Linked DNA regions of Tamandua tetradactyla. The protein of the gene in region 1 interacts with the protein of each later gene in a pairwise test. Links are inferred from orthologs where the notes say so. Each region holds a gene or a part of one and is shown in the gene's direction. Other genes may lie near its edges. The genes, in order: EXOSC8, MORN4, OTUD4 and EXOSC10.

Evidence for each region.
Region 2: the proteins of EXOSC8 (region 1) and MORN4 interact in binary tests that used the Homo sapiens proteins (3 or more experiments, as listed by UniProt). The two-hybrid records come from large-scale screens. The link is inferred for Tamandua tetradactyla from reciprocal best matches to the Homo sapiens genes EXOSC8 and MORN4.
Region 3: the proteins of EXOSC8 (region 1) and OTUD4 interact in binary tests that used the Homo sapiens proteins (3 or more experiments, as listed by UniProt). The two-hybrid records come from large-scale screens. The link is inferred for Tamandua tetradactyla from reciprocal best matches to the Homo sapiens genes EXOSC8 and OTUD4.
Region 4: the proteins of EXOSC8 (region 1) and EXOSC10 interact in binary tests that used the Homo sapiens proteins (3 or more experiments, as listed by UniProt). The link is inferred for Tamandua tetradactyla from reciprocal best matches to the Homo sapiens genes EXOSC8 and EXOSC10.

What each region holds. Positions count from the first base shown.
Region 1 is NC_135330.1:102,572,550-102,579,419, reverse strand, and holds the start of EXOSC8 (exosome complex component RRP43), read left to right. Parts: upstream 1-3,863; 5' UTR 3,864-3,872; coding exon 3,873-4,000; intron 4,001-4,512; exon of another isoform or gene 4,513-4,849; coding exon of another isoform or gene 4,850-4,860; intron 4,861-6,870. Other genes in the region: ALG5 (dolichyl-phosphate beta-glucosyltransferase), read right to left, coding at 1-33, 3,347-3,412. UniProt on the Homo sapiens protein: Non-catalytic component of the RNA exosome complex which has 3'->5' exoribonuclease activity and participates in a multitude of cellular RNA processing and degradation events.
Region 2 is NC_135339.1:58,901,613-58,908,774, reverse strand, and holds the start of MORN4 (MORN repeat-containing protein 4), read left to right. Parts: upstream 1-4,160; 5' UTR 4,161-4,417; coding exon of another isoform or gene 4,418-4,472; intron 4,473-4,493; exon of another isoform or gene 4,494-4,849; intron 4,850-7,162. UniProt on the Homo sapiens protein: Plays a role in promoting axonal degeneration following neuronal injury by toxic insult or trauma.
Region 3 is NC_135348.1:22,905,187-22,912,127, forward strand, and holds the start of OTUD4 (OTU domain-containing protein 4), read left to right. Parts: upstream 1-3,917; 5' UTR 3,918-3,951; coding exon 3,952-4,110; intron 4,111-4,184; exon of another isoform or gene 4,185-4,312; intron 4,313-6,941.
Region 4 is NC_135328.1:214,317,997-214,325,859, forward strand, and holds the start of EXOSC10 (exosome complex component 10), read left to right. Parts: upstream 1-4,860; 5' UTR 4,861-4,908; coding exon 4,909-5,019; intron 5,020-6,137; coding exon 6,138-6,274; intron 6,275-6,980; coding exon 6,981-7,104; intron 7,105-7,863. Other genes in the region: serine/threonine-protein kinase mTOR, read left to right, coding at 376-391. UniProt on the Homo sapiens protein: Catalytic component of the RNA exosome complex which has 3'->5' exoribonuclease activity and participates in a multitude of cellular RNA processing and degradation events.

The sequences.
Region 1 (6,870 bases):
TTTCGTAGCAGTTACAAATGCAACAAAGGATATCTAAATATAGACATGTAAAAAATAAATCATTACACTGACTATAACATTTGATATGTTATAGTAAGTACACTGTTTACTTAATTTTTTTTTGGGGGGGGGAAATACTTGTTTTCTGTTTTTAATCCATTAAAAAGGGTCTGGAACTAACTCCAAAATTGGAAGACAGTGAGTAAGTCTTATGAACTGATGACTGTCCTTTTCTCCCAGATAGCTGCTGGGGCACTAATGGTGCAGGAGGCTCTGTTTCTTCCCACCTACCACTACCCAAGCCTCTCAGGGCTTTGCCATCCCAGATCAAATAGGGAACAGTCACAACAGGAAGTCGAGTCAACTCTCAGGGGACCCAGTCCTATGTGTAGCACACAAATGGTGAGGATGATCCCTACTTGGGCCTGTATGTGACAGAGGACAAGTGCATTCAGCATGTGGAACATGTCAGGTGGGGCTGTCCTCTCACCCAGGATGGGATACACCCAATGTATAAAGCCAAGATCTCTTGGCCCCCACAGTATGGATTTGTAATGCTTTAGGATATAGTCCTGGTACTCATCCCAAATTTGAACTCAGAATACAGCATTTTCTTGAGTAAAGCATTAAATGTGTAGGTTCTCTGCACTACTAACATTATAGCTCCCTACCCTAGCAATATAGCTCCCTTCCATATGCACTTGGGAGTGACCTCTGGAAATAAACCACTCTGAGTAACATTGCTTCTATTGGTACACTTCTGCTTTCAAAACAACCACTATACCAATTCTTGAATGCTACTCATGTATAATTTGATGGTGTTTTATAATATCCCACTGGGTATGGACTGACACTGAATTTGCTTCTGATTAATGTGAGCATGAGGTAGCACCCAGATTAGGGTGAAGGGTCCTGCCCTGCACCCCTACTCCTGACTGTGGTTTCGAGATGCAACTTCCCACAAGGTGTTCCTAAAGAGAGGGTGACTTGGGTCTGTGCAGGAAATGCACCGTACTGGAAGAGCCTGTCATGGAAAACAAAGAAGTTGTTGGCAGTGACAAGGCCATGCCAGAAGTACAACTTGAAGGGGCTCTCGCTGGCATGGGATAGGAGGATTTGAACATCAAAAAGAAAGACTGTAATAGATCAAAACCAGTGAAAATTATTTAAAACCATGAGTCGATGATAACACTAAAAATAAAAATTGGTCACCTTCGTAAGATACCCAGGAACCATCTCATTATTTTAAAGCTATCTTTTATGTATGAACTATATATTTCATAGGAACTGAATGGTTGAGGAGAAAAAGGTTTTGGTTATAGAATTCAAGCTAATAAATGAAGAAGGAATGATACAATTAAGATATTCTACTTGGCAACCTTAATGAAATAACAGATTTAGATAATGTTCATCAATGATGGCTAAAACCATTAGCTGGATGACAAATTTTATAATTGGTGGATCAGGAGACAACCTTAACATTGATCAACCTTAACACCAGAGACAACCAGACATCGCCTGCCTCCTGATGTGCTACAGGAGGAAGTATTCACTATCATTCACATGCTTTTCTTGGTTAAAAAAATCAAACATGCAATTGAACAACTAGCTACCAATTCAGGGGACAGAAGAGGATGCTAAATGGCATCAAGAAAATGCAATGAGCAAAATCAAGATTGTGAGAAGTTCCACATGAGTAATAGTCACATTTATCAATAAAAACAGATTTTAAAAAATCAAAGAGGGGTGGGCAACAGTGACTCAGTGGCAGAGTTCTCACTGCCATGCTGGAGACCTGGGTTCGATTCCCAGAGTCTGCCCCTGCCAAAAAAAAAAAAAAAAAAAAATCAAAGAGAACAAGAAAACTATCTTAAAAGACTGAAGACTTGTCAATCAAGCAGAACAGTGGACCTCTTTTAAATGCTGACTGTAATTAATTACACCTAGACATACACAAGACAAGTGATGACATGGCAACTGACTGACATTTGAAATTACAGAATGATGGTTAATTTTTTTTTAACCTGTATAACACTGCTGTAGTCTCGTTTAGAGAAGACTACTGAGCATTTACAGATAAAACCTTATAGTGTCTGCGATATGTTGCAAAATAATTCAGAAGGGAAGAGGGTTGGGGAGGAAGCATATATATATATATATATATACATATATATATAAGGTGACTATATTTGAAAGATTAGCTTTTTGTTGCCTTTTTTAAAAAAAAGATGTTCTGCTCTGGCATTTAAAAGGACTAAGTTTCACTAGCTTTGGGACATTTGAACACATGACTTTATCTTTCCAGCCAGTAAAATGAAGCTAACCATAACATTTATGTCACAGTATTGCTTTAAGATTAAATGAGGTAATCCCTATTAAACAGTACAATACCAAACATATTGTAAGTTCTCAATAAATGATAGTTCTTATTATCAGCGCAGACAAATGGGGTCAAATATTCTCATACAACATCATAACGCACAGTTGAAATCTTTGCAAGGCAGTCTATGTAAGGCAGTTTCAACCCAGAACTGTGTCAAATTCTCTATCACCAAAAACGTGACTTGCTCAAATCGGTGAAAAACAAAAACAAAAAACAAAAACCACTACTACTGGAAAGAGAGGACTCCTTTCTTGCCCACAGGGCAGGAGCATAGTTTTTTTCTCTTTCCGAATAGTTTACACTTGGTGAGCTTTAAGTTTACCAATCCTCTGGGCAGAGCATAGAAGGGCCTGTAGACAGTGCTGCAAAAGCTGCTCACCCCAAAGTCAAGAAAGACACGATTCTCTCCGTTTGCCAACCAGATGGCACGCTCATCCAAGTTATACCGGAAAAATTCACGTGTCAACCTTTCTACCAATTATGGGTCAGTAAGGGCTTAAAATATTTGTGTGTTTCCACAGCAATGTCAAAAGAAATCGGGGTCTGGATTCCATCAAGGAGGCGGTAAAGTAGGGAGTCCAGACTCCGGGGACGCGACGCGGCCAGGTGCCCGAGCGCGCCTGGGGCAAGCGACCTGCGCCAGCCTCTGATAGGCGGCTCCCGCCACTGCCTCGTCACCACTCGCACTACTGTGCCTGGGGACGCAGCCCTGACCCGCAGGGCCCAAGCACAGCGGAAGCAGGCGTGAGGCGTCCCAGGACGCCGCGGCCGACAGCGCGGGTGAGCCGGGGGTCGGGGGCTTTGAGGTGGGCACTTGGAGAGCGGAATGGGGGTGCGCCCCGAAGCCCATTGAGACGGAGCCCTCAAGGGGGTAAAGACCCGAAGAACTGAGCGGCAGTTCTGGGACCAGGCTTGAGGTAGACCCGGAGAAGGGAAGGGACGCCGCGGGAGCCCGCGCCTCACCAGTATGAGCGCGACCACCGCCAGGGCCGCACCAAAAACCGCTAGCTGCAGCAAGAGCGGCGCCATGTTCCCAGCCCCGAGCGCCGCGCACGCGCGGAAGCGCCACCGCGCATCCTGCCCACGCCCATAGACGCCGCGCGTCCCGCTCGCCACAGCGCCACAGCGCCACCGCGCGGCGAGGAGGGCAAAGCACAAACCACTTGAGGGGAATGGCGGCGCTGAGGGTGACACTCAGATGGGCAGGAGGCGGGCGCTCCCCCAGGAAGGTGCCAGGTTTAGTAAAAACACTGAGGCCCACTTAGATTTAAGCTTCAGAGCAACAACAAATAACCTTTAAAAATATGTGTTTCCGTGCTGTATTTGAGACACGCACAGACTGAACATTTGTTGCTCTGAAACGCACTCACACGAACTTCCAAGTCTACCGCAGCCGGGCCCCTGGGGGGGGGGGCCCAAGTGCGGCGTGTCTGGGCCCGGGCGCGGGGCGAGGGGCAGTTCTTGGCAGAGGCGGTGCCGGTGTCTGCACATGCGCGCGGGCGGGAAGATGGCGACCCCAGCGCTTGCACATGCGCACGGGCGTGAGTGGCACGGGCGTGAGTGGCGCAGACAGCACTCGCACATGCGCGCGGGCGTGAAGATGGCGGCGGGCTTCAAGTGAGTGTGAGCTGCCGCGGGCGGTGTTATCTTCCCTGGTAGGTGCGGCGCTGTGTTCGGGTGGCCGCCTCCCTTAGCTTCCTAGCTGTGGTAGGTTTCCCTGCCTTGGAGCAGGCCTCGCCGCGAGCGTCTGTGGGCGTGGAGCTGACCGCGCAGCCCCGGCGCCGCGACCGGGGAGTTGGCCTTCTGAGGCCCGCGCCGCCCCTCTGCCGCTCCCCGAAAGGAGCCTGCCTCAGCTGGAAGGTTTTTCTAAAAAAAAAAAAAAAAAAAAAAAGCAGACAAAAAAACCGCGTTTGTGACCGTTCGTTGCGGCCTGTGGACTCCGGAGTAGTGTTTTTAAGTGGAGTAGGAGATAGGATTCCAGAAGAAACCAGTTATGCTGAACTGCAGTCATCTTGAGCATAAATTCGGGAAATTCGTGGTCTAGGGATAAATGCACTTTCTAGTAAACCAGCTTCGATGTTAGGATCTAGTCGATTTAAGGTACTCCTGGCATGTCAAGTCATGACGACTCTAAAGACACCTTCCGCGCCGAGGTAGTAAAAGCGCCGGTGTCTGCTTGCGGCGCGCCTGCTGCTGGCGCGCCCTGGTCGGTGCCTGTGGTGCGCGCTGATGCGAGGAGGAGAGTGTGATGAGGTCGTGCTCCCCAGGCAGAGAGTGACAATGGTCAGGTACAGGAGAGTGCCCTAAAGACGTGCTCCCCAGCCGTGAGTGACGGGTGTGTTACAGGAGCGATGAGGACGTGCTCCCCAGGCAGAGAGTGACAGAGGTCAGGTACCGGAGAGTGCAACAAGGACGTACTCTCCAGCTGAGCGTGATAGGTGGGTTACAGGAGAGTGCAACGAAGATATGCTTGCCAGGTTAGAGTGACTTTTTTTTCAACTTTTTTTTAATTGTATGGTATAACATATATACAAAGCAAAGAAAGAAAAAAGCAATAATTATCAGAGCACTCTTCGGTAAGTAGTTACAGGACAGATCCCACAGTTTGTCATGAGTTTCTGTACCATCCTCTTCAGAATGTAGGAGGCTAGAAGGAATAAATTTTTTTTTTTTACCATCACAAGCAACTTTTTTGTGTGAAAAATGACATACGTACAAAAGAATTTCAAAACGCAGCACCACAATTAGTTGTAGAACAGTTTTCAGAGTTTGGTATGGGTTTTAATTCCATAGTTTTAGGTTTTACTTCTAGCTGTTCTAAGATACTGGAGACTAAAATATCAGTTTAATGGTTCAGCAATCATATTTGAATGTTAAACCCTACCTTCTCTGTATAACTCCACTATCACCTTTGATCTTTCTGTCCCACTCTTTAGGGGCATTTGGGCTATGGCCATTCTAACTTTTTCATGTTGAAAGGGGCTGTCAGTAATATGGGGTAGGGAAATGGAACTATCTGATGTTCTGGAGAGACTGGGCTAGGTTTCAGGACTTACCTGGTCCAGGGACTGATCTGGAGGTTGTAGGTTTCTGGAAAGTTACCCTAGTGCATGGAACCCTTGTAGGATCTCATACAATGCCCTAGGTGTTCTTTAGGATTGGCTGGAATGTTTTTGGTTGGGGGTTGGCAGGTTACTGTAGGTAGCAATGTCTAATTGATGCTTGGGTAAGAGTAACCTCCAGAGTATCCTCTGGACTCTATTTGAACTCTCTCTGCCACTGATACTTTGTTACACTTCTTTTTCCCCTTTTGGTCAGGATGGAATTGTTGATCCTACAGTGCCAGGGCAGGACTCATCCCTGGGAGTCCTCTCCCATGTTGCCAGGGAGACGTTCACCCCTGAATGTCATGTCCCATGTAGGGGGGAAGGCAATGATCTCACTTGCAGAATTGGATTTAAAAAGACTGAGGCCACATCTGAGCAACAAAAGAGGTCCTCCGGAAGTAACCGTTAGGCATGCCTATAGGTAGTCTGGGTTTCTCTGTTACCTACATAAGCTTCACAGGAGTGAGCCTCAAAATCAAGAGCTTGGCCTATTGATTTGGGTGTCCCTAATGTTTGACACAGTATCAGGGTTTCCCTGATGGTAAAGTTTAATAGTTCCATATTTTATCTTCCATTCCTCAGGGGACTTTGCCAATACTTTTTGAATATCTTATTATACTCTAGGATGTACCCAGGCATTACATTAAACTGTACAGGATTAAAGTCCCTCATTCTTATTCTGGGCTGTGTTTCAGTTGTTCAAATGAGCCATCCAGACAGGTTGAGTTAGGTGATGACTACAGAAAATTTAGATTCCAGACAAGATAAACCTTTCTACCTTTGGTCTTAAAGAGTAGGTGCAGTTCTAAAATATAGACAATGTCTTCCTTACCCCTGTGTTCTGAATTATCTTAATCCTGACCTGATCAACTTCATTCTTATCTGTAAATATCAGGTTATAGATATATAAAACAGCCTTTCAAAATCCAGAAATAATAATTACCACTCCAGACTAAATGTGTCTGCTGTAAGAGCTTACAGTCTAGGACCCTGTTTTCTCCTAAGCATTTTCTGAAGGAGACCATACAATAATTGTTCCTTCATTTTGGCTTATTTTGCCCCCCCAAATGTCCCACAGGTTAATTCACATCGTTGTATGCCTCACGACTTCATTCCTTGTTGTAGCAGCACAATATTCGATCATATGTATACACCATCATCGTTCGCCAGTATACTCAGTCAGCGCATCATTCAGCCACCTGCATTTACTGGGCTTGTTGTATAGTGTCCAAAGTCCACAGTCCATCCACACTCTCAATTTTAGATGATTTCATTGTTCCCAAGAGAAAGAAAACCAATAAACACACCCTCACCAAATAGGAAATCTAAACCTTAACTTTTGTCCATTACCCCATTATTTACCTGTGCTATTGCTGTGGT
Region 2 (7,162 bases), on another chromosome or scaffold:
CAACATTTGACAGACTGATTAGTATGTGCCTTTGGGAAGGTCTATTTGGATTTATTCTATTTGGAATTCATTGGGCTTCTCTGATTTGCATAATTATGTTCTTTATAAGGAAGGGTTGAGAAGTTTTTCCTCAGTATATCCTCAACTAACCTTCCTAGCCCTTTAGTCTTCTCTTCTTCTTCTGAGACACCAATGATTCTTCTATTTGTGTGGTTTGTTTTGTTCAATCACTGCCCTGAGATCCAATTCATTTTTTCCATCATTTTTGCCACTTGATCTTTTATGTGTTCAAAATCAATTGTCCTGTCCTCTAGTTCACTTATTCTTTCTTCTGCTTCTTCAACTCTGCTGTTGTTTGTTTCTAGTATATTTTTGATGTGGTCTACAACATCTTTAATCTCTGTGATATCTGCTATTTTTCTCTTTATTCTTTCAAATTCCTCTTTATGCTCTTCTAGTGTCTTTTTGACCTTCTTTATGTCATTAGCCATCCCATTAATTTTATTTAGTAGAGCTATATGAACATCTTTGAGTAGTTGTTCCAAAGTCTGTGTCTCCTTTGGTGTTTTAATTTGGTCATTAGGTTGGGCTGTATGTCTGCATCTTGATATGTTTAGTGATCTTCTGTTGCCTTCGAGGCATGTCAATATCTTAATAAGTGACTTTGGAAGTTGATTTCCTTTGGTAGTCTAAAGCTTTGTATTTGTGGGATGTATGCGGAGCAGGATGCAGGGATGTGGTGAGGGCACAACAGCGCTGTGATGGGTTGCAGCTCAGTATAGGCCCAGGTTGGGGACTGGTGCCTGTGAGCATTGGGTGCTGGGCAGGGGTTTGGGTAGTGGGGTGCAGGGGCCTTGGGAATGGGGTGCAGCTCAGGTAGACCTTGGAGCGCAGGGGCAGGATGTGGTGCGGGAGACACAGGGGTGGGGTGTGGCAGGAGACAGATTGGGGGTGCTGTGCAGATGCACTGGGGCTGGTGCACAAACAGGATGTGGGTGGGGATGTGGAGGCCGGGATCCTGAGTATCAGGATGTAGGGTAGGTGGCACAGAGGTCATTGTTCAGGGAGAGGGGTCCAGGGGGGCCGGGATGCAGATTTGGAGTGTGTAGGGGCGGGGCACAGATCGCTGGGGTTGCAGGTCGTGGATCAGCAGCCGGTGATATCGTGGACTGGGCCCTGGGGCCGGAGCGCAGATGTGGCGGTTGGAGCAGGGGTGCACTGAAATCTCCTTTTCACTTTCTCTTTCCTAGGCTAAATGCTGACAATTTTTCCTCCTCCCCTTTTAACAAAAAGTTTTTAAAAATCCCTGCTCTCGTGCCACTTAGTCCACTTGGTCTGATTTCTCCATGCTTATTTGTTAACTGAAGAAAGATACCGTTCCAGAGACGGTAAACGTAAGGTCAGAGGCCGCTACTGTTTTATTCACCCCTGTAACCTCAGTGTCTGCAGACAGTAGGTGCTCAGTGAAAGAAAGGAAGGAGGATACAGGCCGTGACCTCAAGCTAAGGCCACAGCCTCTGGGGCAGTTGGAGAAACAGAATCAACATTTTTTTTCTATTATAAGAGTTCACCCATTGGGGGCTGCAGCCAGAGAGTCAGCGAAGGCCTTAAGTGGGGCATGTGCTATTCACTGAATCTTGAAAGAAGAATGTAATTAAATCACTGGAAAAGATTGAGGAAAGAGGGCACACCAAGCATGAGTGAGTAACCCGAGGATCAAAAGAGGAAGGTTAAAGGATATAGAGAAGAGAGTAACCTGCTTGATTCAAGGGGAAACAAGGCTGGGCTGGATTACCAAGGGCCTGGAAAGCCATGAAGAGAAGGCATCTGTTAGGTGAACAGCTGCGGAGAGCTTTAGAGAACAGTTCTTCACCAGGCAAGTGATCTGGGGTGGACCAACTCCAGACCCAGGCACCAATAAGTAACTCTGGAATAAGTAAGGGTGGCATCTTTGAAGACGGATGCATAGTTGGAGTAATTGCTTGTTTAAATCCATGGACTATTGTTATGGTTAAAATTTATACTAACATTACCTCCTAAAGTTTAGAATGTAATGGCTATGAGCATGGGCTTGGAAATCAGACAAATCCTAGCTCTACACTGACTACTTTGGACAAGTTACTTAACTGCTCTAAGCCTCAGTTTTATCCTCTAAAAAAAAAAAAAGGAGTGATATTGCTACCTCACTTGTTTAAAAAGGATCAAGATAATATATGAAAAGCAGATAGCATAGTTCTTGGTACATAAAAAACACCAAAAAAAAAAAAAAAGAGTAGCATTTTTCACTGCTGAAGTTATTGTTGATATCATTTTGTTTTATGCTTAAAGTAACCAGTAGACTAGAGGTATGGGTTTTCACAGAAGACAACTAGCTATGCAGTCACCAATACTTCATAACCATTCTTTCTTGAATCAAAGTATTGCTACAGCTCACTAGAAGTTGGAAAACTGTTATTTATTTGTACATATGATAATATTTTAAACCTTTTTTTGCCAAATAAGCCATTCTAGGCAAAGGTCCATACAAGGGATTCCATTTCCCTTTTCAATTACAAGACATAATACTTTCATTTCCTACCCAGATATCAAATAATCAAGAGATGTCTGTTTCTTGTGTCCCAGGGTCCAAAGTCACATTGATGCTTTCTTGGTATCTTTCATATTATTTAGCCCCTGAGCTTCAAATTATGGTCAAGGAAAAGTTCCAACATTTAGGGTTCTCCCTTGAATTCTAAGGTTTTTCTCACTAGAAAACCCTGAGAATTTTTATCTGCATCTATACTTTAGAATTTGATTTTCCTTTTACTAAAAAGAATGAAAATACATTCCCGATTACATATGCAGAGCTAGTACTTACTGAATGGTGTGCATGTGCCAGACATGTTCTATGTGCATGATAGATTAACTCATTTAACCACCATAAGAGCCCCTGTGATGTTGAAAATTGATACCTCAAGAGGTAAAGCAACTTGCCTGTGGTGACACAATTGATAAATGGCTGGACCCAAATTCAGGTCAGACTGAATCCAAGAATTTAACACTGTAGTTGCTTCTTTATTAAACATCACTATGAAATGTCTTGTATTCACTCCCTTTCTTTCCCTCTTCACTGATGCCATATTAGTTTTGACATCTCAGGATGCCATAACTACATTACTTCAATAGCTTCCGAGTTTGCTTCTCTGCCTCCAGTCTCTTTCTCTCTGATCATCTCTGGGTATCACCTCCATAGTAATTTTTTTAAAACACCAGTTTCATTATGTCATTCCTCTGATCAAAATATATATTTTAGAAACCATGTCTTCTCCCTAATTTTCAGATGCCTCCATAATTTGGCCTCACTCAACTTACTTACCCTTATGTCCTCATATTTTCTAATGTACATTCTCCAATCTAATAAGATCCATTTCCTTGACAGTACTCTCAACTACTGCAATTATATTTAAGATCAATACCACACAATTTAGCAAGCTTAACGATTGAGTGTTAAAGCTGGATTGAAGTTTATAAATCTGCTAATCCAATCTAATTTTACAGGCTGCAAAGCTTAATAACTTGCTTGAAATCACACACAGTTGGTAGCAGAGCTGGGATTTGAACACAGTATCCAAAATCTTTTTTTTTAAGTTTTTAATCTACTATTTATTGAATATTGGCTGTCTCAGACATAGTACTGAGCATTTTACATTGCATTTTCATACTAGTCCTAGAGAGCCTTTATTGTAATTAGTATCAATTTCCGTTCTACAGATGAAGAAATCTCAATTTAGAAAAGCAGTTTGCCTACTCCTTTCATGTGCTTGACTTCTCTTAATTATTAAATGCAGTCTTTGATTTTTCCATGTGCAGGAGTCTTTTCTTCTACATATTCAGGCAGTAAATCCATGAGCACGGCGATCATGTCTCTTCTAGTCTGACAGAACCTAACACCTTGCTGTACTCATACCTTCAGTAAATAAATATGTAGATTAAGGGATTGATGTGTATGATATTGGAGAGGGTTTGTTCCAGTCTTGGCATACAAATGGTCTGGGTAATAACAGTGACAACAAAAATCCCTATAACAAATGCAAAGGTGTTCTTATATCACAATGCCTGGTATAGGGTTGAGACCCGTTAAACAGCAGTTATCCTACCCAGTGCTTTACAATTTACAAAGCTGCACTTCTAAAACCCGATATAGGTTCTGTCTTTAAACTCCCGGGCCAGACCTTTTAGGATCGGAGCCACATGAGTTGGTGTTCACTGTTGCTACTGACCCAGATTTTGTTTTGTTTGGGGTTAACATCTCGGCTAGGCTGTCCGTGGATAGACGTGAACTGGATACCTGGGTCACGGCGGCGCATCCGCGTGTTCAGCCCCACCCCTCATTCATATAGTTGGCCCAGACTCTCGGAACACTCCGCCCCGCACAAAGATGGCGCAGAAGCCGGCTGGCCCAATGGAGAGTGGCGTTGCTCCTGGTTGCCTAGGTAACAGCCAATGGGAAGCGGGAATTGTGCCCAGTGCGGCTGCCTGGGATGGCGGCGTCAAGTAGGGAAGGGGGTGGTAGAGGTTGTGGAAACCAAGGTGTTTGGGCAGAACCCGGCGGAGCTAAGGTCCCGGCCGCTGAAGCCCGGAGCCGGGGCCTGATAGTCGTCCCGAAAGGTGGGGCCCAAGTGGGCTGGCAGCGCGGGTGGGAAGGGACCGGGAGGATGGGCTTAGGTGGTCCGAGCAGGAAAGGAAGAGTCTGGGGAGCGGGGCTCCATCCCGTTCGCGCTCTGGAGGCCGGCTGCGCGTGGGGGTCCCAAATCCGGACCTCCCTCCTCGACTGCTGGGGCCGAGGCCCTGGAGCGCCCACGGCACCCAGGTGAGCTAGCGGGGAGTGTGAGGGCGTTGTCGAGAAGGAGTGGCAGACCTGTGAGAGCAGAGGGCCCGGCCGGGATGGGAGAGCAGAGATGGGGAAAAGGAGTGGGGCTCGAATGCAAAAAAATGGTGGAAGAAGGAATGGGGAGGTCGACAAGGAAGTGCCGTCACGTTAAGTCTAAGGCTTTGTCTGCGCCACTGCCCGCCTCTGTCACACCTGGGTGGAGAGACATCCCTCCTGTGGAGGAATGAGATACCGGAATGCCTCAGTTAGTTGATGGGTGGTCTCCCGGCAGTCTAGCATCTCCAGACTGCTTGGGGACCAGCGGGAGTAATTCTTTTATTAGAACGGTCTCCTCTCCCAAAAATTAGAATAGTATTTTGGGAGTGTTACTCATTCTCCAGTTCCCTCCCTCCTCGCTTCTCTCCCTCTCCCTCTTCCCCTCTCCCCTTCAGTCTTTTTTTTTTTTTTTTTCCTGGTGCCAGGATTTTCTTCGCACTTTCTTCAGTCTAACCGGCCCACAGTTTTCCTGAATAAGATCTTTAAATAGTAATGATACATTCGTTTACATTTCAAATGGGGGAAGGGGGAGTTACACTTATAATAAAGTTAATTCAAGCTTATTTAAAAACATTTGAAAAGGAACATTTGAGTCTTTGTTCTAGGTTCCTTAGAAGCATAATACTTACTCATCAAAGCCTTCATGTTCTTCTCTTTAGGATTCTCAAAACTCAAGAATTGCTCTCTTTCATAACTGAAAGGGGAACTTTGACCAGACAGTCCTAAGTTGTGTGGGGAGGGTGGCGTTAGAGGGACAGTATGTACGCATGTGTGAATAGTTAAGGTGGGACTGCTTCCGAACAATATTCTTTGACTGAAAGTCTGTTCCCCTTTAAGGTGTTTGTTTTTTAATTCTCTCAGTTTGGATATAGGTTACTGTGAGGGCATACATTTTGTTTAAGTTTTATTTCTAAAAAAATTTTTTAAAAGACACAAATAGAAGGGAAACGGAAGTTCTCTTTATTGTCTCAGAGTCCTACTTGTAAATGTATGGGGCAGGAGAAAATGAAGCTAGCAGGGATGTAGTCTGTGGTGCGGACTAATAGTGTATTGTTACTGGTTTATAAAGAAAAAATAGTAATTTTCTTTTAGGTAAATGTTTGGACTGATGCTTTGCAGCCCATCATGGAGGGCAGAAGGGGTGGGTGTCTATTTAGAAGTGCTGAATCATCTTGGCTTTGTAACTAGATTCCATTTGTATATTTGCAGCCTAAATCTCTAGGCCATCTACTCTCTTTAAAAAGATTATTTGATGGGTGCACGGGTGGTTCAGTAGTAGACTCACCTTTCATGCACAAGACCCGTGTTTGATTCCCAGACCATGCACCGCCTCCCCCCGCCAAAAAAAAATGTTTATTTGAATAACTGATACAAATACTGATTTGCATCCCTTGCTGAAGTATTGATTTTTCAGTCTCCAACAACTGGCTATATTTTATTAAATTTGATTTGTCTCAATGACCGTGGTTATTGGTGAAATTCCTTTTTGTGTCAGTGCTTGTGCAGCTCACTATTAATTAGCATGATCAATTACAGAAGTCATAAATGAAAATCTCGATACTGTCCCAGGCAGTGACAATATCAACTATTTGGACAGATGTAGTAGTTTCTAGCAAATGTGTCCAACTGAGGCCCAAAGCCCTTGGATCCTATACATGTTCCTTTAATTAGCACTTCTGATTGTTTTGGGGGAATGGACATCATTTGGACAAGCAGGTGCTGAGGGGAATTTACTATAACTTCCTAGATCAAAAAAGAATGGAAGTTTGAAGTATGGATTCTTGAAAACAAACAGGAGAGGACATTGTCAGGGTTAGGTTGAAAGATGGTATTCCAGTTACTATTGCTACATAAAAAATTACCCTAAAAGTTAGCAGTTTAAAACAGTTATTTTATGATGTTCATGGATTCTTTGGGTCAGGAGTTCAGACAAGGCACCGCACCGTGAGTGTGCCCTCTCTACTCCACTAACATCTGGGCCCTCAGCTGGGAAGACTGAATTTAAGGTTGCTGTAATCATCTGAATGCTCCTTCACTCACAGCTGGCACCTGGACTGGGATTCTGCCAGTTGGAGAATTGCCAGTTGGAGCACAGACAGGTGGTTTTTCTATGTAGATTAGCTTCCTCACAGCTTAGAGGCCTCAGACTTCTTATTTGGTGACTCAGGTCTCTAAGCAGGTGTGTACCTGTGAGCAGGATGAAAGTTGCATCACTTTTTATGATGTAACCTCAGAGCACACCCTTACTTCCCCTGT
Region 3 (6,941 bases), on another chromosome or scaffold:
CAACAAATGTTTATTATCTCAGACAACTTAGATCAAGAAGCTCAGAATCTCAGTCAAGAATCTCAGAACTGGAAGTTTCTGGCTCAAGATTTCTCATGTTGTTGCGGCTGAGATGACTGCCAGGCCTGCAGTCATCTGAAAGCTTGACTGGCCTGGAGAGTCTGATTTTAAGCTGACTCACGTGGATGTTGGCAAGAGGCTTCAGTTCCTTACCAAAGGAAACTCCCTAAGTCTGCTCACAGCACATAGAAGCTAGCTTCCCCCAGAGTGAGTGAACCAATAAAGTATTTGAGAGCAATCCAAATGCTGCAAATGTTTTTTTATGATGTCAGAAGTGACATGCTATCACTTTTGCTCTACTCAATTTGTGGACGGGGTAGGTTGGGGAGGGGTGGTGAATATCCAGAGGCAGGGATCATTGGAAAGTAACCATCTTTAGAGGCTGGTTACCTCAATACCTAATTTCCTATTAGGAAAATAAAAATCCAGAAAATCTGTTTTTTAATAAAAATTTAAACAATTCAGTCCAATGCAATCAGTCTCTAGTCCCAAAGTTCGTCAGAGGAAACAAACCGACTTGAGGTATTGATTGTGTACAAGAAGAGTTGGTTGACACGTTGACATAAGGTGAATTTGATTAATTTTACTTGGTTCTCAGGAATTACAGTCTTTTAGGTTTTATTTGATTAAAATGATAGCTGTTTAAAGAAGTTCTGAATTTTGGCAGGTCAGAAGTGGCTTCCTCCAAACGAACATTTTCAATCAGAGCTGGTCCCTTGATAAGTTTCAAATGTTAATGTTAACATATGACGGGCCTTTGAAAATAAGAGACTTTCTCTAAGTTTTGGTTCAGTTTAAAGTCCTAGGATCCTCTAATCTAGGTTGAACACTGAGCTATATTTGGGGATTTGGCATACAGAGGGTCTGTCTTGGATTAGGTCTCAAAATACCTAAAGGATTTCCTTAAACAGGCCCCTGGGTCAGAAAAACAGGTGCATGACTTCTAATTTTGGAACCAGAAGCAGCCAGTTTAGTGTGAGGCTGTTCTGCATTCATTCAGCAAGGGTGAGGACAATAAGTAATTTTTGGCACTACATCAACTCTAGGAAAGAGTAGAAATGGTTATTCCTTCAGATAACAAACCACAGTTTTATAAGATCGTATAGAATTGTGGTAAACTGATAAAGGCCTCTGTTTTCTTAGTATTTAGTAATTCATTTTAAAAATATTGAAAGCAAGCCCTAGTGCCAGACTCTACCAGAATAGTTACAATTTATTTAAATGATCATGTCTTCTTATATTGATAATATTTTTGTCTTTGGATTACATTTTTTGCAATGGAAAATAAAGTGTAGAATTAACGTGTTTGGTTTCCTTTTCTTTTTGAAGTATTTCTAGGGAGTTCTGGGGTTTTAGAAGTTATAACATTATTTTTTAAAAAGTCAGCACATTTGAATAGGATTAAAATATGGATAATCCATAAAATAAAAATATGCTTGAAGCACTGCCAGTTTCCCATGAATGTAACTTATAAAAGTGAGCAAATCTTTTTTATTTGAAAACTCTTTTTTAAAATTAAAGTAATGTAATCATGACATTTCAAATACAAAACAAGGGTTGATAAACTTCGAAATGTGAAATACCAGGAAATACAAGTTTCTATTATATTCTCAAGATATTCAGCATAAAATCTTAGCATGTTCTATACAGCTCGTTTCCTATAAATATATATTAAATATGAGATTAGCTTCAGAACTTATTGAAGGAATATTAAAATAAAAGCTTGGAAAGCCATGGTTTTCTTTAGTCATGGCAGAAAGTATGTTATTTATAAAATTAGTGAGATAGAATCTATTCATTTCTGGAATTCAGTATTAAAACTCTACAGTTCAGACATTACTTTGAATTCCTCTGTGGGTTTAAAAGGCAAGCCATGTTGTGAGTAGTGGCAATACTTGGCAATTTTAAGATAGTGTAATGAGTAGCATATGCAATGTAAATATACTCAAAGAAAGAAAAGCAACAGATTTGATCTGAAATTAGATTTTTCTGAAAGTGATTCCAAAGTGTTTCTATACTATCTGTAAAAAATTTAATATTGGGACAAAGAAATCCTTTCACGTAGGTCAGATTAACGTCTGTATTCTCTGAAAACAGCACAATTTGAAATAGACTCTTTAAATATTAAGAAATCAAAATTTAGAAGCTCCAAGGGAAATTTACGCACTACTACGTAAGTGCTTGTACCTAAAGAACTGGAAATACATTTCTAAGAGAGTTTTCATTTATGTTTTTCACTTATGTAACTTATGTTAGACACTCACCATTTAGCCTCCCTTGGCCCTATTTCAAAGTGCTTATTCTACTACCTGTCTAAACCTATAGAATCCCTCTACTTTCCCTTCTCCCTCCAAGGCTTCAAAGCTTGGAGCAGTTTCTACAATTAAACACATTTAAATAAGGACTCCAGACGCTGTTGTATTTTAGCAAAATAAATTTCTGGCGTCCAAAAAGTATGCTGGATAAATTCCGGGTTCTAAAGCCTCTGACTCTGCTTTGCCAATTTCCTCGTCATTCAACTTTGGAGGGTAGGAAATTGAGCTGGAAGCCTCAGCGCTCTTAAAACCCATGGCAAGTCTGGTACCTTATCAAGCAATTACAGGACTTTTTTTTTTTTTCTTAAGAAAGGATAAAATAATTTTAACTTTTTTCTGACCGCTGACTTAGTTGTCTGCGTGTTTGGGGGCACAGCTACAGTGAGGCGATGGACAAAACCGTCTGTGGCAAAGTCATCACCTCGCCGTAATGCGTGAGCAGTATTTCTAATTTCTAAAAGGAATCATCAGTCCACGGTTGATTTATGGAAAGCGTGTGTCGTGCCTCACGCCGCCAGTTCCAGGAGCCTTCGCCAATTAGCTCTATTTTCTGCTTAAGCCATTAAAGCCACCTCCATGGAAACGCCAGGAGGGTAGGCCGGGGGAGGGGAGCAAACAGGTGCGCTCTCTGGAAATACACAAAGGGCCGACATTGCCGCCGCAGTGTCCCTGGCAACTCCACGCACGCAGGATACGCGCACTTGCGCGGCACCGCGGAGCAGCCGGCAGCCGGTCAGCCCGGGCGGCGCGCGCAGGCGGCCGCGCATCGGCTCGCGGAGACCCTGGGCCTGCTCGCGGCCGCGGGGCCCGGGAAGCGGGAGGCGGCGCCGGCGCTGGCGCTGTAGGGACTTGTAGTCCGCGAGCCTCCCGGGCGCCTCCTCCGCGTAGGCCGGTCCGCGCGTCCTCACCCGCCGCTATCCGACTTCCTGCCGCTGCCAAAACTACACCTCCCGCCGACCTCTCCGCTGTCGGGCGGAAAGCGAAAACAAATTCTGGGCTGCGAGGGTGCAACCCTCCTTCGGGTGCCCCCACCCGCTCCCCGCCCCTCCGGCGTCCTCCCGCGAGGTGGGGAAACGAAAGGCCGCTTCTTTCTCTTTTGGTTTCCTCGGCTGCTTGCGTGGGGAACGCGTGAGGGACGCAGGCCTCGCTTCACCTCAGCCGGCCCGGCGCCCTCGCCCGTGCGGGGCTTTGCTCGCCTCACACCAGTCGGGACGAGGAAACTTGTGGAGGCGGTGACCCCCCGCGCCCTGTCCAGTTCCTGAGCCGGGCGGCGAGGCCACAGGGAAGTGACTCCTCACTCTCGGGTTTTTCTTTAATTTTTTTTCAACGTGCTCCGCCTGGGCGCGTGGTCCCTCCGGGCAGGCGGCCGCGTGCGAACAGCCATGCACTAGGCAGGGCTTCCCCTATGCGCCCGGAGAGCGCGGACCGGTGCCTCGGGCCACTGCCGCCTGCTGCCGCCGCCAGCGGAGCCCGAGCCGGAGCCGCCGTCTGCCCTAGGCCGGGGCGTCGAGGAGCCGGCGGCGCGGCCATGTGGGGCTAGCCCGCGCCACGCCTGGGCTGCAGGAGCACCGGCAACATGGAAGCGACCGTCGGCTTCCCCGACGGCGGGGACCAGGGCGGCGCGGGGCTCCGCGGGGACGCGACGCCCATGGATGCTTATCTGCGGAAACTGGGCTTGTATCGGAAACTGATCGCCAAGGACGGGTCGTGCCTTTTCCGGGCCGTGGCGGAACAGGTAATAATTTGGCGGGGGTCAAGGGGAGGCGGGTGCGGCCGCGGGCAGTTGTCGGGCCGCCGGGTGAGGCTGCGCGTGGCGCCGCTGTCGTCATAGCGGCCCATTGTAACGCCGGAACGGGTTGCTGCCTTAGGTCTTAGAGCTATAAACCGGAATGTAAAAGCCTGTGAGATGACTGGGTGTCGCCTCTCCTGTTGAAAAGGTAATGAATCGACGACAACTTATGAGGCCTGCTCTGAGCCATGTACAGTTTGTATGCTTTGCAGGCTTGGTGAACAGATAATTTTCTGTTTTGTTCCGCATTCATCTTCCCTTCGTTCTCTAAGCATAACGTTCACATCAGTAAACCAGATGTTTCCTGGAGGAGGTGGCGCATCAAACTTTCCTCGTGGAATATGTGTATTTTTGTTACCAGGCTTTGGAATGTGGGGTATTCAAGCCTTCCGATGTCATGTCACTCAATCAAGAGGGTAAAATTTGCAATTTGGGAAAGCGCACTTAAGAAAAACAGGGTTTTGAAAATTGTCTTTGAGTAAATTCCCCCTCTCACTACGTTCTGCAAGACAGTGTAAGTACACAAAAACGGAATTCTTTTTTTAAAAAAGAATTTACTGTTTTGGTGTTAGTAGTAGGCACGGCGTAAGTGGAGAGCCTCTAGGCCCTCCTTGACCAGATGTTTCCCTGTTAGTGGTCAAAATCACAAAATTGCTTAGGGCGGTGCTTCTGTTCCTTGAAAGGGCTTATTCCAGGCTGTATAATACATGTGTAGCTGTAGGTGTGCAGTCACCAAAATCTGGCTTTATTGAAAAAGAACTACTGAAGTAGTTGGGTAAAAGTTTTACATTACTGCTGTAGTCTGTATTTCACACCTTTCAGTTTGCTTAAAATCTGTGCCCTGTCCATGAGTTTTTTATGATCTTCTCACCTTTTTTTTGAATGCTAGTTAGCTTTCAGGGTTTTTGTTTATGAGTAAATATTTTACTTAATGAACACCTGGGGAGCAGTCCATCCTCTTTTTCTTTTAAACTTCACAGACCAGTCATCACTTTTCCAAAGATTGCTGTTTTCACTTCAGTGACATAAAATCTTTTCTTTAAACAAGCAATTGATTTAACAAGTATAAGCCATTTTCACTAGGTTACAGGTATTGTTTTTCAAACTTTCTTCCTAAAGTTCCCCAAACCAAGCTCCATCTTTTTCAATTCCATTAGGTTTTGCTTTTTAGAAAATGGAATGTTTGGTGTTCCTGTGGTGTACTCTCTCTTTCATACACATACGCGCATGCGCGTATTAATTTTCCGTCCCCTTTTCCTTCCTCTTCCTAAGACTCCCTGAACTCCTTAGAACCTCTAGAAGCTGGGGGAAGAAGTGGGAGTGATTTCAGCCCATATTTATACATACTGTTAGCTGTAGCAAGAGTCTTATAAGGAAGGAGGTAGAAACTAATTGAAATAAGAGAAGTTTGGAGTGTATTTGGAGTTGGATTATCCAGGCTGTCATTTATATTGAAACAGAAAGGTGTATCTGGTTTCACCATTACTTGCTATAAATATTTTGCAAACTTGATTATACAGAGGCGTGTAAATTATTGTAATGGGATCTCTAAAATTTTTTTTCTTAGTAGAAAGGGGCATCAGCTAGTTAGACTAAGGAATCATTGCTAACATCAGATAACACTGTTTTGGTGTATCTTACTGTACTAGGATTTACCTTAGATATAAGGAAATATCCTCCAATTATGTGAATGGTTTTTAGTACTGAGCTTGGAAAGCTCAACACTGTGAACTTGGGAGCACCCCACTTCTAAAGTAGACTTGGACTAAGGGTATAGCAATCATAGCCAAAGGCAAAGTGTATATGGGAAAAGGGAAATAACAGTGGCCTCAGGCTCCTCCTATAAAATGTGTACAAAGGGTTTTGTTTTTTTTGTCAACTATTTCTCCTATGAAGTCAATATAAATATCCCTCATTTCTAAGAAGGAGACAGAGTAAGTAATCTAAAGGCAGTCTTTAGAGAGATTGAGTTAGGAGGAGTCTTTCCCTCCACATTACCTGATTTAGATAGGGAAAGATAGGCCTTTCCCTTTTTGCACTTGTAGAATTCGGCCTGCAGGAGGCTTGACCTCAATCAGCTCCACAGTTATGGAACTAAAAATAGGCCACTCTTAAGAGGACTTGCTAAAGCAGTGTGCCTTAGCCTTTCCCAGTTTTTATCACTATATTGTTCTAAGATGGGAAAATCTCGTAGTTCTAGCTCATTTCATGCATATAATAATTTGCAAAGATAGGTATATGTCAAACCCTTTTAATTCTTCCTGAATTAAACTTGCACAATCATTTTTTTTAAGTTGTCATTTAACCTTGCTTCTCTTGCAGTGAAAAGAGTTTCTCTTGCTTTGTAAAGCTTTATAAAGCACCCGTGCCTCCACACTTTGTGGATGTTGCTGAGGATTGTGCTTCTGATTTCATATGCCAAAATCTTTCTTAGAAGAGAAAAAAATGAGATACACTTGCCTTTATTATTTTTTTTGTTGCCATTGTTTTTGATGGGAAATGAGCCCTTATGTCTGCCACCTGTTGCTAGGTAATGGTTTTAGGACTAGCTTCACTTTGGTAACAGCAGGAAAAGTCTTATCAGATAATACTGTGGTTGATTCATAATAATGTTTAACATAGCTACTGTGAAAGACATTTTGCTAAATTTCATTTGTTGAATTGGCTGTCTGATTGTATGGTGATTATTTCACATGTGAATAGTCTTTCCAGTGTTGGAATCTTAGTGCTTTTCTCTAGTGTTACAAGACAGTAATGAAAGTACACTCACGTACACT
Region 4 (7,863 bases), on another chromosome or scaffold:
GGTCTTTGGATTTTTGCTGTCAGTTCCGATACAGGAAGGGTAATGGAAAAGAAGCCAGAGCAGTGATAGAAGGAGACGAAAAGACAAATTTATGATCTGGGATTGTAACCTCAAGGACCACTCGGGGCTCCGCTTTGATTACTTGCCCGAGGCATGCTTGAAGAGAGGGTAAAGGGGACGTGTCCCCTGGGACCTCAGTAGGCATCAGCACTGGCCTGGAAGCGATGAGTATGCCTCACACAGTTAGTTGTGGGAAATCTCAGGGAGTGTCCTGAGGATTATCAGACCTTGATCTTTTTGTTTTCCTTGTATCTGTGTAAAGCTTTGAAGAAGCTCTTATGATTAAAATATTCCTTTTTCTGTCTGTCTTCCTAGGTGTCCTTTCTGGTAACTGGAGGCCCAGACACGCCCACAGTGTTTCTTGTGAGGCTTTTGTACTTTGGTATATGTATGCTTCCACTAAACTGAAACTATGGTCAAAAAGTTTGACTTTATTAAATATTTTGAAATGTAAATGAAAAAATAACTACTGTATATTAAGAGTTGGTTTGAACCAACTTTCTAGCTGCTGTTGAAGAATATATTGTCGGAAACACAAGGCTTGATTTCGTTCCCAGGATTGTAAAACAGTGTTGCCACATAAATCAAGCCATTGATTTTGGGGAACAGAAGATCCATAATTTTAGAAATACGGGTTTTGACTTAACTCACAAGAGAACTCATCATATGCATTTACTGGTAGAAAAATGGCCTACTCATTCCTCTCAACCCAATACAGCAGACTTAGTGCTGTCAGGAAGCTTTAGGTCATGGAGGAAACATAGGAGGATTCTGGACTATAACAAATCAAGAGGAGCAGACTTCATCACTTCCTCCCATCCCATGATTTCACTGGTCCGTGGACAACAACAACCACAACATCATCAACAGCATTTGCAAAATGGGCCAAAATGGGTGAAAAGGGTCTGTCTTCTGCTTGACCCAGTGACGCCGCAAATTACACACTTCAAACCAAGACCTGAGCTGCTAAGAGGGGACTTTATTGCTATTGCTAGACAGTTCTGCCAAGCAAACGCAGGGTGGGGATCATGGTGCAATGGGGTGACCCAAATCCGCCTTCCTTGGCCTGGATCTTGGATGTTTTCAGTGAGTTCTGTATACTCTGTTTAGAGCAAAGGCTTGAAAAACAGAAATACTGTCATGGAGGTGCTGAACACAGAGGGAAGGTCTAGTACAGGTTGGGAATTATGAACAAAATAAATATTAAACTAAATGCACAAAGTATAAAGTATAGCCATGTCTAGACACCATGTATCTGATACTTTTTGTGCCAATAAATTACATCAGAATTTTAAAACACACATATGGGTAGCTTTTTATTCCTAATAGAGAGTTCAAAAAAAAAAAAGCATTTATTCCTTCACATTCAGCATTCATTAAGCACTTAGTACAAGGATAACAAATGACATGGGTATACATGACGTGGTCCCTTTGCTCAGCATGTCTACAGGCCAGAGAAGGTGGAGACGGCCTAACAGGAAATAAATGGATAACTCCACTGCTAGCTAAGTGGTGAGAAGAGCCGTGAACAGAGTGTGAGCCACGGAGGGCTCACTCACTCCACCGGGTTAGCCAGGAAAGTCTCATGGATGGTCTGGAAGAATGAGTGAGAGCTTTCCTCAATAGAAAAGAAAGCGCAAGTCATCAAGCCATGAATGCACAATATTGTGCAGGAATGGCAAGTATTAGCTTAAACCATATGAATCTGCAGGTATTCAACCAGTTTTTATATACAAAAATGGCAATTTCATATGGTTGGTCCTCATAGTTCAGCAGGTGTGGCTTCAGGGGTCAGTGGAGAAAAACTCAATGACAAGGAGTTTGGGCTTGAAGCTGTCAACAACAGGGAACTAGCTGATTTTGTGTGTGTACTATATGGCAGGGATCACATTTCATTCTTTTTCCATGTGAATAGCCCATGATTGTAGCATTATTTGATGAATTTTTTGTTTGTTTTTTCTCTTTGTTGCTTTGGGAAGTACACGGGCCGGGAATCGAACCCAGGTCTCCTGCATGGCAAGCAAGAATTCTACCACTGAAATACCCTTGCACTCCACCCCCGTATAAATTTTTAAAACAGGAAGAGAATCCTAATAGTATTTTGAAAAAGGCAAGTAGTGACAAATGGATGTAAAGAAAATTAGAAGCCAGAAGGCCCAGTAAAGAGGGTGTTGCAATGCTGGGGAGGAGAGAACATTAAATGGATCAGGTAATTACTTATAGATTCCCTCTGAAGAGCATACCTAAAGAGAAGTTCTTCCAAGAAATTTATTTTTTAGTTGTTTGTATTAGTTAGGGTTCTCTAGAGAAACAGAACCAACAGGGAACACTTGCAAATATAAAATTTATGAAAGTGTCTCACGTGACCATAGGAACACAGAGTCCAAAATCCACAGGGCAGGCTGCGAAGCCGATGACCCCAATGGATGGCCTGGATGAACTCCACAGGAGAGGCTCACCAGCCAAAGCAGGAATGCAACCTGTCTCCTCTGAGTCCTCCTTAAAAGGCTTCCCATGATTGGATTTAGCATCACTAATTGCAGAAGACACTCCACTTTGGCTGATTACAAATGGAATCAGCTGTGGATGTAGCTGACGTGATCATGACCTAATCCTATGAAATGTCCTCATTGCAACAGACAGGCCAGCGCTTGCCCAATCAGATGAACAGGTACCACAACTTGGCCAAGTTGATACCTTTCCCTAACCATGACATTGTTTAAGTGAAATTTTTTCTCTAAATTTCTGTTGTCCACAACTACTCAGTGAGAAACACTGTTTTGTATAAAAATTGTTCAAGGAACTTGTATTATGGGGAGCCTGAGAATCACAAGGTCAGGAACCACATCATAGGTGTCATTGCACCCACAAAATCTGAGAGAAAACCTAGCCCTAGACAATTTGTTGGAGGACTTTTCTTTTAAAGACAAAGATACATTCAAATTTCAATAGTGATACTAATAACGTTTTCAATATTCACAGTGAGGAAGTCTCATTCTTTTTTGAAATTTTCTAGAAGAGTCCTAAACCAAGTCTGATTTGTTCTGACCTCCTCGGTTTGAGATGAAGTAACTAGCAATGACTACAGTGATGTTACCTTTTACGAAAATTAAAGGGTATGGGGATGGGTGAACTCAGGAAAATGGTGGCCATGAGTGGTAGAGACATACTCAGGGTTTGAGAGTCATTGGGATTAAGATCTTTGGTGAATCCAATGGGTTTTAAGTGATTTCTAAGCAAAACCTTCTGGTTTTGAAGTGAATTATCAGAGACAGGTGAAGAGCTACTGGAGGTCTTTAAAGACAGTCTAATTAACCCATCAATCCTGAATGGTTTTGTGTAACCCTGTGTGAAGAAAGGGGTGTGCAAAGAATGACTTTCCAGATCCTTCCGTTCCTAGGGTTAAAACTACTATCAATAGATTGAAATACTAGTGATCAATGAAAGGTAGTGGTAAGGGGTATAGAAAAAAATGGGAACAAAGGTTAAAATATATTGTGTAGATGGAAATACTAGAGGCCAATGAGAGGCGGGTAAAAGGTCTGGTATGTATGAGTTTTTTATTTTTTCTTTTTATTTCTTCTGGAGTGATGCAGATGTTCTAAGAAATCTTAGAAATGATCATGGTGATACACAAATACGTGATGATATTGTGAGTCATTGATTATACACCAAGAATGGAATATTCACAGGTTAAAAATGTTCATGTTTGTATGTTGTGTTGTTTTGTCAATAAAAATTAAAATAAAAACTACTATAAAGTAGTTTTCAAGAGTCAAGGCTGCAGCATCGAATTATTTAGTTTCAAATCTCAACTCCACTTCATACTGTGTGACTTTGAACCAGTGCTGTTTCCTCATCTGAAAACCTGGTTAATACTACCTCTACCTCTTAAGGTTTGGGTGAGGATGAGATAATCCATGTGGAGCATTTAGCACACAGCCTGAATGTTGTGTTATGAAATAAGTGTTCAAAAATATCAGTCATTAAAATGAACTAAGCATTTCTTCTTTCAGGGTGCTTGTGTACCTGAAGTACACAACTAGGAAAGAAAAAGTGAAAAACAAGTGTCCTATTGATAGGATATCCTGAATTACCATAATTGCTAACATTTATTGAACACTGACTGAGTCAAATGAGATCTATTAAGGGTACACCACCTCTGCTCTGTGCACATAGACGCAATTCACTCCACAGGGCTTCCGGGAATCCATTTTCCCCCATTCCCCAGCTACCTAGCAAAGCGGTGCCTGCCTCATAACAAGTCTTTGCTGAGTTGCATCGTATGCCTTAACAAGACAGGTTCCAGTGGGATGCACGAGAAGAATGTCTAATCGAAACGGTTCAAAAGCACGTTTGCAGGCTAGGAAGTACAGCGGTAGCGTAAAACTCTTTCCAGAAGTTTTCCTACAAAAAAGGTAAGAGAAATATGGCAGGGCCTGGAAGGTGGGGGCTCGGTGTCTTCCCTTTCTTAGTTGGGAGAGATTTCAGCTTAGGGCTGTGTTGTTAGGAATGAACCAGGAGCGAGGGGAGAGATGACGATGCCAGATGGCGGGGATAATGACTGTGGCCAAGATCTTAAGTGGAGAGGGGCATGGATCCAGGGCCTGGAAGGTGTTAGCTTTACACAGGAGATGACTGGGTCCGCCGATTCCCTCGCTAAACCAGAGGATCGTTAGGAGGATGCAATATGAAATTAAAGGAAATTTTTAAGTTCTCGGGGTGGGCGTTCAGGGTTATTCACCCAACTGAAACCCCTCTGGCCCTCTCCCCTCTGCACATGCGTCCGGCGTACACGTCGCGTTGGCGCGTGACACTCTCGCGAGAAGCGCCGTAAAGTCCGCAAACATGGCGCCTCCCAGTCCCCGAGATCCTAGGTCCCCGCCGGCGACAACCGCGACCAAGTCCGACGAGGAGATGGTGCTGCCCGGCTTCCCCGACTCCGACAGCTTCGTGAAGGTGAGTTCGTAAGTCCTCGGAGGCACCGGGAGCAGATCAAGGCCGGACGGAAGCAGGCCCAGGTCCTGTAGGCGGCAGGCAACGCGCGCGTCCCGCAGCGGAGCCTCCAGGGCGGGTCAAGGGGCCTCTCCCCTCGCTGGGCAGAGTCTCTTGGGTGTCTTCCTCCGGAGATGGGGCCCCGGACAAGGAAACGGAGGGACGCTCCATTTCCCAGAGCCCTCGTTCCCCGAGTTGAGGCCTTGCAGCCCTTACTGTGCAGAGCGTTCTCCACACCTTGGGGAAAACTCTCTCGTCACCCTGATGTCTCCAGCCCTCGGCGACCTCGCCCCCGCCCGTGCCTGAACCATCCGGCGAACTCTCCGAGGGAACTTGACTGCTTTACACCTCCCACGTCTGCCCGGCGGCCCCCCTTCCCACGACCGGCGGGATCTTTCTTCCCTCTTCTGACGTCCAGCCCTACGTAATCCCCAAAGCCCAGATACAGCTATCGTCGAGTGTCTTTCTTCTAATTATCAATATCTCAGAATAGATTGGAAACTCCTGGAAGGAACAGAGAGGGTCCATTTAAATTATTTGTGTAATGCAGCTTAAAGATGAGCAAAATAAAACTAGGTTTAAACACGTCATGCATGCCTCTTATGCAGCCATGAAACATAATTTGAAGTTAATATTACTTAACCCCCCCATTCCATTCATATTATCTAATGTACTAGTAGTAGATACTTTTATTAATTTTATTTGTTTGGCCTTGAGTAGCTCGCAGACCACTAACTGAGGTCTTGATCATGTGGAGTTCACACTCACAAGTCACCACATACCCCACGTTGACTCGTTTTCCACCTCCTGTCTCATTTTTTTTCATATTTTCCATTTGTTCTGTCTCTCCCCACTCTTCAAGATGTATGGTCCGAACCTTGGTTTTGTGTTCAGCCTTGTCTCCTCAAGGCCTAGTAGACTAAAGAGTAGAGTCAGTATTAAATGGAGATCTGTTGGAGAGATGAAGATTGGCTATCTTTAGCATCTAACATAAGGTACCATGTGTTGTAGATCTTCAAGACATGATTGCCAAGTGGATGGGGATCTGTGTTTAAAACGCCTTCTTTTCTGGTTTTTGACAGTTTGCTCTTGGGTCAGTGGTGGCAGTTACCAAGGCATCTGGGGGCCTACCACAGTTTGGTGATGAGTATGATTTTTACCGAAGTTTTCCTGGCTTCCAGGCATTTTGTGAAACACAGGGAGACAGATTGCTTCAGTGGTAAGTACCATACATTCTTTCCCCAAGTTAATAAAAGAAATGAAAATAAAGAGGTAGATTTTTCCTGAAATTTGTTTTTCCTTACCATAATCTTCCATGCTTATAAAGTGCTACAAAATGTGAAAAAATAGCCAAGAGGACTAGGAAATTGTTATTTGGTAAATTTTGAGTTTAATTTTTAAAAAATGTATTGACTTTTGCACTTATACATAACAGAGCTTAACTGAATTAATATGGGCCTTGAAAACTTAGATCCAGGTTTCTTAGTCCCATGACTTGCAGAGTCACACATATTAACTTTCTACCTAGTACATTAGGACAGTTAATGTACAAACGTTAATTTTGTTTACCCTTTGCATGACAAGAGTTGGAGAAACTGCTTTAGACTTGCCATGTTAAAAGAATGAAGTAAATGTAATGTACATTTATTTACATACTATCATACTTTTTTTGGAATTTAAAGAAATCAGAAATTTCTTCTGCCCCTTCGGTTAACAGATGAGGAAAGTAAGTCTTAGCTAAATTTAGGGAATTGCCCAAAGCCACACAACTGGCTGTTTCTTTGAAGACTGTCATAACGGTACAGATTTTATTAATTTGAAGAAAAGGCATTGGGAACAGCCTGAGCCAAGCCATTTGAGCTTTCTTCCAGATGGTGAACAAATAAATAAATGTACACACATTTACCTGGGTGTCCCTCCCTCAGCATGAGCAGAGTAATGCAGTACCATGGGTGCCGTAGCAGCATTAAGGATCGAAGCAAAGTGACTGAATTGGAGGATAAGTTTGATCTCCTAGTTGATGCTAATGACGTCATCCTGGAAAGAGTGGTGAGTATTCTCTTATTCTTATGATAACTAACAAACAAAGAGTTTTTGTCTGATTAAAAATAAAGAGCAATCCAAGTACCTTAGAAAATAAGGAAATAAATATACAATTTCTTACTGGTAATAACATTCCCTTCCTTTGACCAGTGGTTTCTTTTTATACAAAACTAAGTATGAATAACTTCAAATTATTACTGCCCCATAGAGGCCTCTTTTAAGGTGCTGATTAAAAATCCACCTTTGTATTACAAGAGAAGCAGCCTCTCTATCAACCCAATAAAAATTTAATCATTTTTACTTTGTTATTGAAAACCTTATCGTTACCTTGACTCTCAGGATTGGAAGAAGATATTAATCATTCAGACTAGCTTGCCATCTGTTTATGCCCAATTCTACAGCAGAATGTTATTTACAGAAATACACGGAGATTGTCTAAAATAAATCTAACCTTTAGCCATGGGATGATACTGGAGATGTTTAAATTATGCTCTCCTGTCCCATGAAATCTATCTTCTATATGAAATTATGCTCTCCTGTCCCATGAAAACTATCTTCTATAGTTTAAATGTCCACAGATCTTGCAGCTATTTTTTGTATTTTGTGATTTCAGGTTCTGTCACTGCTGATCCATCATCTGGTGCATTTTCATTTGTGGTGCCCAAACTCATAGTCCACATCTGCTTTGATAGCACAAAGTAGATCAAGACAACCATCATCCTCATTCTAAATACTTCTGTAATTAATATATGCTTTCTGGGGTGT